3 linked regions of the Drosophila melanogaster genome follow. The protein of the gene in region 1 interacts with the protein of each later gene in a pairwise test. Each region holds a gene or a part of one and is shown on either strand. Other genes may lie near its edges.

Region 1 (4,685 bases):
TTTACTTTTTACGCTCGGATTTAAATAAGATATAAAAAGATATAATGTAAAAATAGCTGTATATTAGAGGCTTGGGCAAAACTTGGGCCTTACTAAAAAAAATTAATAATAATATTGTAATATTTGTGCCTGTTCGATATTCCACGTCGGCCTTTGATGTTGTGCGAATTGTGTGGAGCAAAGAAAAATTTAATAATGTCTTAATATCCAAGCAGCGATACTGATTACCAAACGAACAAGAAACAGAAATAGTTGCCTTGAAGTTTACTAGTTTTTGAATGCTATAAATTGCCTTAAATACGCCTTGCATGCCTCTTAATGTTAAACGTACTAATGTAATATTAAAAAATGAATTCAAATAAAAGGAAAAACATAAAACCCTGGCTTGAACTTGAGATATTTCATCATGTGGACAACATTTTTCATCAACGTTTTGAATTCGTTTATTTTTGGTTTGTTATTTCGGTTAGTTAGTTAGTGGCTAGTTGAATATTTATTCTGATTTTAGTGCGCGAGTGAATAATTTGTAGTTTCCAATATAAAAGGAACCAAATAAAGTTGGCAATGTGCAATACGTGTTTGTTTATATTATTTAAATTATATACAACTTACGTTTTAAATAATCGTTACGGAACTAGTTCAGTTCGCACGCTATCGATAGCTGAGAGTTCTGCCAGTGACATCGCTAACTGCGTTAGTTGCCCACCGCTATTGTTTTTCATCCTATCAACATGAGTGCCGTGAACGATCCGCTGGAACTTTTGACGAACAAGGGCACCCACGAGCCTTCTTTCCTCTCGCCGATATGGAATCCGATTGCCTGCGGTGTGGCCGGCGTGGGCGCGGCCATTTTCATCAACTGGGGCTTCCGTAAGCCCGTGTTTTCCGGTGAGTTTTCGCCCCGCTTCCATGTGACGTAACGATTGTTTTTGTCGCCTATAACTAACTAAATCGCAACGTATTCCAGGCATCCAGAAGCACATCGCCTTCGGAGCTATCGGCGTCGGCGCAGGAGCTTATTTCGATCAGAAGAGGAACGAGTACCTGGCCAAAAGGGACGCCGTCCTCCGGCACTACATCGAACTGCATCCCGACGATTTCCCGGTGAAGGGTAAGTGCGGCATGGATGCAAGCTAACCATTACTTACCGTTTTTGCCCCTTCCAGAACGCAAGACCTATGGCCAAGTGCTGGAGAGTTGGGTGCCAGTGCGCTAAGTGGATCTAAATCTTTGTTGTCAAACGAACGATGGAAGTAGTTAATAAAACAGCTTTAATTGTAAAACATATGAACACGAAAATGGAGCAAATGGATTGGGCATTCTATGGTTTTTTATTCGAAAGGAATTGCATGCATATTATGGACTTACAGCATATTGGCATAATGTTATGGTTTAAATTGATGGAATGTACCTAGGGCTTACATTTTTCGCAACTATTTAGTTTTGAAATAAATTTGTTAAGCTATGTTTTGGTTTGAGTCTCAGCTAGCGATTAGCGCACTTCTGTACCTGAAATTGGTGCGCGATACCCGGGAGTTATCGATTGCTCCAACGGTCCAAGTGCCATCTCCAGAAAGAGGCTTTGGCGAGCAAACGCTCTTTTGTCGCGGTGAAAAACGGATCGAACTTTTGGTAGGATGTGTCTGCGCAAAAAGTTTGTCCGCGAATAAATTACCATTTTTGAATAGCAGCCAGGAAGCTGAAAGAACGCGCTAAAAAATCAATAAAAAAATTCGAAATCCAACCAGCCAGAGATTGGATTTAAATATATATACACAAAAAATCTCTATGAAATAAACAACGTAATTTTAAGCCCAGTTTGTGTGCGTGTGTGCGTCTTCGTTTTACCGTTACAATTTACGAAAACCGAAATAAAGTGTAATCAGTGAAAAATAAATGCCAACACTAATAGTCAAACACAGCGAAACGAATTATTGTTAATTAATTGGCATTATAAGATTGTTTTTTTTTTCGACCCAGTAAAAGGTTAAGCAACTGAAAGTTTGGCGAAAGTTCACCGTCGGCTCAGTTCACCTGCAAATTTTCTTATCATCAGCAAACAACGATTATGGCGAAGGTAAGAAAAAGCCGAGCTCTTAATTTTATTACCAACTTATTTATTTATGAACAGATGCTGGTCTTTTCTCTTCCACGGCAAATGTTTGTCAATTTGGTTTTTATTTCATTGCTTGTGTGTGGGTGGGTGGTTCCTGCGGGTGGATACGTTTGTATGAATTATGCATGTTCAGTGCGGATTCGCATTGATTTCCCTGGATTGCGGCGAATCGATTCCCCAGCAACCGTTACTTTATGATGTGTAAAATTGAACGGGCATCGCATTTTTGTGTAGCCATAAAAACCGTTATGCCAAAAGGTGCTCCCCGTGCGGTGGATACGGGGCGGGGGAGTGGGCAGAGTTTCGGGTTCCGTCGTAAAAGAAACATAGAACATAGAATAGAAGTAAGCACTTGAATAACAGAGTAAACAGGGTAGTAAAGTTTGAAATGATAACTGCGCTTAACTTCATTCTAGAATTTTGCTACTAACAAACATGTTTTGGTATGGTATTTAAAAGGATTTGTAATATTTTTAGAAAATTGTAAATATTTTAAAGCAGCGTTAGTCTTGTTCCATTGAATGAAATATATATTAGTTAGAAAATTTCTCTCTTAAATGCCGCATCTTACATAACAGCTCTCATATTTTCTCAGCTGGCGACATCTCTGCTCTTTTAAACACTTTACTATCCTCTTCATCAGGCTAATGAGCGAGTTTTCCAAGTACTTGCCACCCACTCCGCCCGGAAAAGCGGAAAATTCCGCTTATGGCCCAATCTGCACGCTATTACGACATAGGGCATAAAAAGCCAAGGAGCCCTCAATCCCAATCAAGGGATTAAAGCTCCGTCCGCAGAACGTCGAAGGAGTGAAGCCATTTCTCACTGGCCAGCTGCTTTTTTCGTGGCCGAAATGAGGCACATTATTCTCGAGGTTCTTGGCTCGATATGTGCAGTTCGAGCCAATTTGGCAATACATTTTTTATCACCCACCACGTGTGGGAATCGGGAGTGGGTGGATGGTTATGGGTGACTCTGGGTGGTGTGCCCATCCAACCACTGTCGCGTGTCTGCTTGAAGAACTTTCGCTCGTGACAGGTTTGTTTTGCTCTTGATAAATTACCTTGCCACTTGTCGCTCAACATGAAATTACTTTGCTCTATCTTAAAGTTTTCCACTTTTACTCAACCATCCAGCTCTCTCCATTTTCCTCCCTTCGTTGGCTGGCTATGAAATTTTGATTTGCACGCCCATGTGGCCAAATGTCCCCAAGTCAAGTTCAGACTTTACAATCGAGATTCTCGAGGCACTGAGTTAACCAGAGGTACTACTATTATTACGTGCTTAGTACGAAGTGCCCAGCATTGGGCACTTTACTACAAATTGTCCTTGAGTGGTTTTCCCAGACGGGTAAATACTATGCTCAAGCAAGGATATAAAATCCTCAAAAATCGTAAAAAAATTCACTGATATGTGATATAAAAGTCTCATTTTCCGCACTGAAACGAAAGTTTTGAATTAAATATATTTCCATAAAACAATTTCACTTTTAATTCAATCAGAATGCCCTATCGTAATGTCTACAGGGTACATCCGAAATATATGTACTATTATATCCTTCAATGACTAAGGTTTTACTTTTTTGCCTTTGCCTTTTTCCGCGACAGCCTCATAATCATCAGAGTTCTTGCCGCCCACTTTTCCCCCACTTTTCATCCATTCTGTCGTCTTGCCATGACCCCTATATCATTATGTGCAGCCTGTAGCACTATTATATTCCTCTCATACAATTGTCGACAGGGGGGCGCCTCCTATATACACTTTTTTTCGTGTCAACAGCAGCAGGCGCAACCGCAGGACCTGCCTGCAAGTGCAAGGATAACGGGGCGAAACTAACAATAAGTTGAAGCAATTTTTCTTTTAGACGTACATGTTGTTGCTACCACCCACTTATGCGGAAAAGATGAAGAAAAACAGCATGAAAATTCGCTCATGAAAGGCTAAGGGTGATTATTTCGAGAAAAGCTTCGGATATACATTTAGTTACATAAATTGAAAACTATTGAGATTCATGTTCTGCACTTCAAACTAGACCTTAAAGGTATCTGAAATACTACAGCAAAGTAGAATTCGCTATGGGAATAGTATAAACCATAAATTTATACTCTTGTAATGGCATCAGTTTTCCAGTTTGTAGCATCTGTTTCAATACGAAGAGCTTATCCACTCCTCTACGTTTCCCCAGAATCTTCTCATATATATATATGTATACTATTCCCTCTAGCTGATCCACTATTGGCTTGCCATTTATGATTTATGCTGGCGGCGGTGGCATTTGTGTATTGACTCAACGAGAAATGCGTTGCATGCCACCAAAAAGGGCTTCTGGCATCCATTGCGAATCGCAATTTTCCATTTATTTATGACTGCGTTTGCAGCATGAAAATGTATGGATACCGCTTTTCCTTTACGCCCACATATTGAAATACATCTGTTGGAATTTGCATTGGTATATATTCGCATTAAACAAACAGGTGAACCTTATGTCGATATAATATATGCTAATTCGCAACATCATCGGTTTCGGTTTTGTTTGCTCTGCTGGATGATTGGGAAATTGTTAATTAAT
Region 2 (3,299 bases), on another chromosome or scaffold:
CATACACACATCAGCAGCTTTGCTGTTCCCAATCATAGTCACAGGTGCCCGTGGGGATTGCAGGCACCTGCCGGCTTAATATCATGGGGTACTACTTCGCAAACGGCAACTGGATGTCAAACTTACCGAACTGTCCTTCATAATAATGCGCTTGTGGTTGACCAGCAGACCTTCTAGCGGCTTGATCACACGTCGCAGCATAGACTCGTCCTTGTGGTTTTCGTACAGCCACATGGCGTCCAAAACATCGTGCATGGTCACCATACCATCGCGCTCAGACTGAATGCCCGAGCGGACACGGCGGAGCTCCAGCATCTGGCCACCGACACCCAGTACGAGACCAAGATGGACGCACATGGTACGGATGTAGGAGCCGGCCTCGCAACTAACCCAAAAAACACCTGAGCACGTGAGTGGGCAGAATTGGAGGAGAGAAAAAGACGAGGTTTTAACAATTACATTGTGCATTTGCTGTGTTAGGCAAATACTGGTGTTTCACTGGCTGAAGCAGGCTGCACCTCTGCAGGATAAACTAATCCAGCAGCGACGCACCAACTCTGAGCGAGAATGGATAAACAAAACTTCTGACTTACCCATATTTCGGGTTTCATCGTAGTCCAACAGCTTGCTGTCGTAGACAGTACGAACGCGCAACTGACGCTTTACGGCGGAGATGAGTGGAGGTCTCTGGAAGAGGGCACCACGCAGCTTCTCCAGGCCCTGACGCACCTTGGCCACCGACTCCACGGCTCCGTGCAGCTTGAAGATGGCCACGTACTCCTTGCCGGCGCTCTGCTGGGACTTCACCAGACGGGTGGCCCTGTCAATACAAACAATCAGGCAACCTGTAGGAAAAAAAAACACGCGGCACACAATGAGGTTAGGTTTGTATGGCGGTAGGCGAGCACGCGCTTCACTTACCCGTGACTTTGGGATCCAGCGTGCCGGAGTGGCCTGTCTTCTCCACCTTGAGGATTTTCTTGATCCAGGCCACCACCTCGTGGGAGCTGGGGTTCGACGGCTTGTCCAGGTTGATGAAGCCAGTCTTCATGTACTCTTTGATGTCGCGGTTCAGGGGCGACGATCCGTGCGCCAGCGGAGTGTAGTGGTTGGAACGGATGTTCAACTTGTCGAAGTTCTTCAGGAGCAGCGGCCATTGCGAGGTGTCCAGCTCGGCGATCTTGGAGGAGGGCTTGATTTGGAAGTTGCCCTGCTTCTGCAGCGTGCCAATGTCATCGCCGTCCAAGGGCTCCTCCTTGATCTTCTTCTTTTTCTTCTCCTTGCGTACTTCTGCGGGCGCATAGTCCGTTTATTTGGGCACTCTTTTAATTCATCACTTGCCAGACTTACCCACGTCGGCCATTTTATCTACGTTTTCTGCTAAATCAACTAATAGACGGAGAGAAACCTCCGCACGTGTTGCGCGCTGCGAGAAAATGGACGAAAAACACGTGGAGTGCGCGGTCTATCGATAAGTGTGACTACACAGAAATGTATTTCATGAAGACATCGATACATAAATGGAAATCTTGCGATATGTCATCGTGAGCCGAATTCCTTATTACAATTTTGAATTAAAAATATGTATTATTCATAAACAAAATGAATTTAAAGGTATTTACTTTGACGTAAACATTTTTAATCCATTAAAGCATTATTTAATTGAAAAGATATGTTATGTAAAACTGATACACTGTTTATAGTACGGTGAAAATGTTATGTCCTTAGAATCCACTTGTTTTTGCGATGAAAAGTCATACTACCCTACTTTTTAACTGACGCGTGCAAGCTGATTGCATTTGGCGGGATTTTGAAAATCAGAAACTGCTGAGTAAAAAATATCGAAATATTGATAGTTCCAGGCCCAATCGATACTATCGCCAGTGATCTACCAGCTGTGTTTCCCAACCGGTTGTTTATTTTTCTAAACTCTTAAATTAAATTAAAGTAATGTCGAGGCGAGGACTCCTACTAATGGGCCAGTGCATGCCCTGCATCAAGCAGAACGCCTCCAAGATCCGCATTCGCCGAATGGAGCTGGACAAGAACCTGAATATGGTGTGCATAATATACATTAGATCTCGCCTCAGGAGATTTCACACAATTTCCCTTCTGCTCGCAGTACTTTAAGAAGGACGAGTTCTACTTCGCCCACGATCCGCAGAAGGTGTGCAAGACCGGGGACGTGGTCCTGATACGGGAACTGCCAGAGCGCCTCACCCGCCTCATCACGCACAACGTGGAAAAAGTGGTCTATCCGCTGGGTGACATAACGGACCCGCTCACTGGCAAGAAGGTGGTCGTGGGCAATTACCGCGAGGACATCGAGATGGCCAACCAGCTGTTCGGCAAGTCAGAGAAGGCCTTCGACTACGAGAAGGCACCGCCCCGCGGTCGCCTGGAGGGAACCAAGGACTTCACCCACGGGGAAACATACATCAAGTACCACGAGGATGGCAAGGATCAGCCGTTCGCCGTTTAGAGCTCTGCCGGTCGTTTATCTGTTAAGTTTCCCCTTTGTTTAATAGTAAAGTGCATTAATATGACGTACATATGTTTCTCGGTTTTCTTATAAAATGGTTAGGCCGACGAAAGAAGATATTTTTATAGGTTTTTGATTGCTTGAATTGAATTAAAAAGGCAGGTTTAAAAGATTTCTCTACATATTTTATTTTAATGGTCGATAGTTGTTTTTTTTTTTTTGCATTTATTGATGATTTGTTGTGTATACGTATAAATGTATGCATTTTCAACTTCCTCTCGCTGATCAACAGTTTTTGATTATTTAATTTTTGAATTTTCCTAATTCAAACGATTTTTCCGCGCCAGGTGCCAGGACACATCCGCAACACCGAAACGTGCTGCACACGCACATGGTTTTAGAGTTCAGATTCGGTCCGTGCCATAAATTAAGCTGAATACTAATCACAATCTCTTACGATCCTAAAGTTGTACTGGAGTATGGGGTTTGCCGGGTGAGCGTTGTCGTCGCACAGTTTTTGCTGCAACGAAAAGGAGGCTAGAGTCGCTGGATTTCGCGTTAATGCGTCCGGATAACGCACCTGCTCCAGGTCGTGGCTGGCGCGGAGCATAAACTCCCGTAGGAAGTAGCCGCGGGCGGGAAGATCCAGGGCCAGGCTCAGTTTGTTCTTGCCCTGCTGCTTGAGGATCTTCACCCCGCTGGTGGACTCGGCCTCGTCATCCTCGTTCAGCTGGCCGTTGGCACTCGGCTTGGCCTGATCCTCGTCGACGCAGATGGACCACTGCAGCGGCTTGTTGGAGCTGTTGGATATAGATGG
Region 3 (3,335 bases), about 10 Mb from region 1:
TACCTGTCTGGCGGAAAATCCCGGTGGCAAGGATTCGGTTCACATAAGTGTGGTGGTGCAAAAGGATATGGAAAGGATTTCCCTCATCGACAGCAACTTCTTTGCAATAGTCTGCCTTATAGCCATGGGTTTTCTCAGCATGTCGATTCTATTTTCGTTGGTAACATGCCTAATATTTAAGAGATTCAAGCAGTTCCATCCCGGCCAGCACACTTATTTGCAACCCACTAGTTTGCCCGTTCAGTCACCTGGCAGTGAAGAAGCCACCGCCATCAGCGCCCTAAGTTCTGGAGTTATAAGGGAAAGTAAAATAGTGCTGGATCCATTAAGTGCTATCAATGAACCATCAAATAAAAATTACACTTTATTTAAAACATCCAATTCGAATGGCAGCGAGTATATGCACACGAGAAATTATAAAGACGTGAGATTAAACAGCAACACATATACTGAAAATCTAGACAATCAGGCGGAATCCATTTCATCGCGGAATCGGGAGCTCTATTCAAATATAGCTGGTGACCGGGAAAAGGAAGAGCTCAAACAGAAAGGCAATAAAATGCCAAATAAAATTAGTGCTCAAATTTTAACTTATTCTTGTTTTTCTCCTACTTAGATGAGCTCGATAAGGATTCCCGGCAGAGTTCCTTGCAATCAACAGGCTGCTCAAGAAAGAAGGGACAAATCGATGAACTCCAACCGGACCTTTTGCCTTCCACTCAACCTACTGCCTTAAAAAATATTAATGAAACTTTCGGTCCATCAGCGAAAAAAGCAGAAGTTAATCCCCGAAGCAAGTACAATACCAATGTGCAAAAGTACCTAAAGGAGAAGTACGGCAGTGTTAGAATAAAGAATATCAGTACTAAAGAACCCATTACTGGTGTTGATATCTCAATATAATATATTAATGTTTTATAATATGGCATTTCCCACCATACACAGCTGCGAATCCACCGTAAACCCCATGCCATTGAAATTTTAGTCTTTGCCAGGATTTCAATTCATATCCAGCCCTACCTCTCTAAGACCTCCAGGAGATAGATGGACAAAGGAGATCCAGTCAAGAAGAAATATACCTCGCCTTATTTCTGGTAGTAAATTATGTATTTTAAAACGTTACTAATATATAAAAATATTTATTTACACAGTTCTAAGTGTTTTAACCCACGCACTTTAAGTGAAAGGAATGTAATAATAAAGTTTTAAGTGATGCCTTTAAATGAAAAATGTGTAGCTTACTTGAATTAATCTTATATTATCATCGAATTCTAAAAAGCATTTTTAGTAAATCGTTTGATTTTATTTACCTGACCCACTTTTACCGTACTCTACGTTCTATCATCCCTGACCTACCCCGAATTCATTCTTGTGTGTGCTACAATTCCCAACTGCTTCTGGCCGTTTGCTCATGGAGACCCTTTTCGTTTTCCGTTTCAAGTTATCGCTTCTCGGCCTTATGGCTAAGATCAAAGTGTAGTATCTGTTCTTATCAGCTTAACATCTGATAGTTCCTCCATTGGAGGACAACAAATGTTAAACTGATTTTTGGAATCAGACGGAGTGCTAGGGGCTTGCTCCACCTCTGTCGCGGGTTGGCCCGGTATTGCAGTACCGCCGGGATTTCGGCCCAACTGAATAATAAATATTTAACTATTATAAAATCAAAAGGATCTACTTGTCAACACAGTAGACTTTCAAAAGTTGCTAGTATCTGTCTATCTGTCTAGTTTCTTATCAAAATTATGTCGTTTTGGCAAGCCTGATTACCTACCACAATGACTGCGCCATTTACCTCGCGTACCAACCAGGCCGCCGATTCCGGCAAAGATCAATCTCCCATCCATGGATTGAGCCGGAATCGAAAGCGTCAGGAGAGGCGAAAGCAGCGCCTGCAGGAAATGCAAGATTTGCTGTACACGAAACACTTTTCCAACTACAGACTGCCGGCATCGGTGGCCGCGCCAGCTCCCGAGGATCAGCTGCTCCTCAAACTGCAGAACTTCGAATCGCTGACCGAGCAGCCGTCCAGCAGCAGGAAGAGCACTGCGACCACATCTAGCGATTCGCCGTGGAGCCGACTGCGCCTGGTGGCATGCCCATGTCACGGATGCCTATGCTCGGTTGACCCCAGCGCTCTGTTGGGTCACTATTTGAGTGACCATCTGCCGGGAATGGGAGTTCCGTTTTATGAACTGGAAATGGGCAAGCGAGTGTCACTAACATGTCATATTAGTAGCCTGGAAAGAGATGTCAACACCCTGCTGGGGGTCTATGGCTATCGGCGCACTGGCCTTAATCCTCTGAAATGTCACCGAAACACCCATCTGCCAGTGGAGTACCGCCGCTTCTCGCAGCATAGCGCCCTTATGATCTTCGCCTGCCGCACCATGCACTCGGTGCTGTGGGAAAGGAAGCGTGTCAAACACGAAGTCCTGGCCATCTGGGTGGCTACTCCTTTGCACGGCGTGGCCATCACTCTGCGCCTGCTGGTCCAACCTGCCAACCTGCCACGTTACTACACCAGACAGATAAAAGCTCGTCCAATGCTGCCACTGTCGTCGAACCAATCCTGCAGTGAGTTCATCAAGACCGACAGCAACGTGATCCTCATCAGCTTGAATGACCTCCGGCCACTAATGGATTTAGATGTTTGGCAGCAATCGCTAACCGTCGAACTGAAAGTGATTAGCGAGGCAAGTATATAAAACTTCCGGTTTTTTTTTTTTTTGGAATTCGCAATATTTTTGGCCATGTATTTAAGTCTAAGATTAAACAAGGAAACATAAAACTTGAACTCGCACTTACTATATGCATTAATAAATTAGGACAAAGTATCAGAGATTACATTTGATAAAAGCAGCTACTTCCTGATCCAGGCATCCTACTTCCGTTGCTGAATATATATACATACAAGTCGTACAAGGCTTTTCAATTCGGCAACAGTTTGGATAACATGCTATTCGTACAATTTTGTTGTTCCTCACACTTACATCGTACTTTAAAGGGAATTTACAAATTTTGAGCTTACATACATAAAATTTAGATTTTAAATATTCTACGTTAATGTGTTAGAAATATATAATTATGTGTATAACCTTATATCATTAAGGCGCATGTGCAGATATTCTAAAATTGTACTAGAAATCGAGAGAGCGGTGCGCTGAATCCTCAGGCAGCGTCGCTTCGCTTTTTACGCAACAAAAAATTAAAGCGCCATCATCAGGGGACGACATACTAAACAAGACAAACTAAATAAAACAAACTAAAAGAACGCAACTAGAAAATAAAAAACATCCGTCTAGTGTGAGAGGTCGGAATCTGGTTCCGGCTAG

Evidence for each region.
Region 2: the proteins of toc (region 1) and mRpS17 interact in a two-hybrid assay, tested with the Drosophila melanogaster proteins (one large-scale study listed by BioGRID).
Region 3: the proteins of toc (region 1) and CG15482 interact in a two-hybrid assay, tested with the Drosophila melanogaster proteins (one large-scale study listed by BioGRID).

What each region holds. Positions count from the first base shown.
Region 1 is NT_033779.5:3,141,731-3,146,415, reverse strand, and holds the start of toc (toucan), read left to right. Parts: upstream 1-1,629; 5' UTR 1,630-2,068; coding exon 2,069-2,077; intron 2,078-4,685. Other genes in the region: ND-B14.5B (NADH dehydrogenase (ubiquinone) B14.5 B subunit), read left to right, coding at 732-888, 968-1,111, 1,167-1,216.
Region 2 is NT_033778.4:24,173,019-24,176,317, reverse strand, and holds mRpS17 (mitochondrial ribosomal protein S17), read left to right. Parts: upstream 1-1,876; 5' UTR 1,877-1,950; coding exon 1,951-2,058; intron 2,059-2,122; coding exon 2,123-2,482; 3' UTR 2,483-2,653; downstream 2,654-3,299. Other genes in the region: Nop60B (nucleolar protein at 60B), read right to left, coding at 127-401, 594-845, 922-1,290, 1,351-1,363; CG3328 (uncharacterized protein), read right to left, coding at 2,922-3,002, 3,063-3,282.
Region 3 is NT_033779.5:13,210,225-13,213,559, reverse strand, and holds CG15482 (uncharacterized protein), read left to right. Parts: upstream 1-1,745; 5' UTR 1,746-1,778; coding exon 1,779-2,708; 3' UTR 2,709-2,787; downstream 2,788-3,335. Other genes in the region: kek4 (kekkon 4), read left to right, coding at 1-551, 617-903; Pect (phosphoethanolamine cytidylyltransferase), read right to left, coding at 3,332-3,335.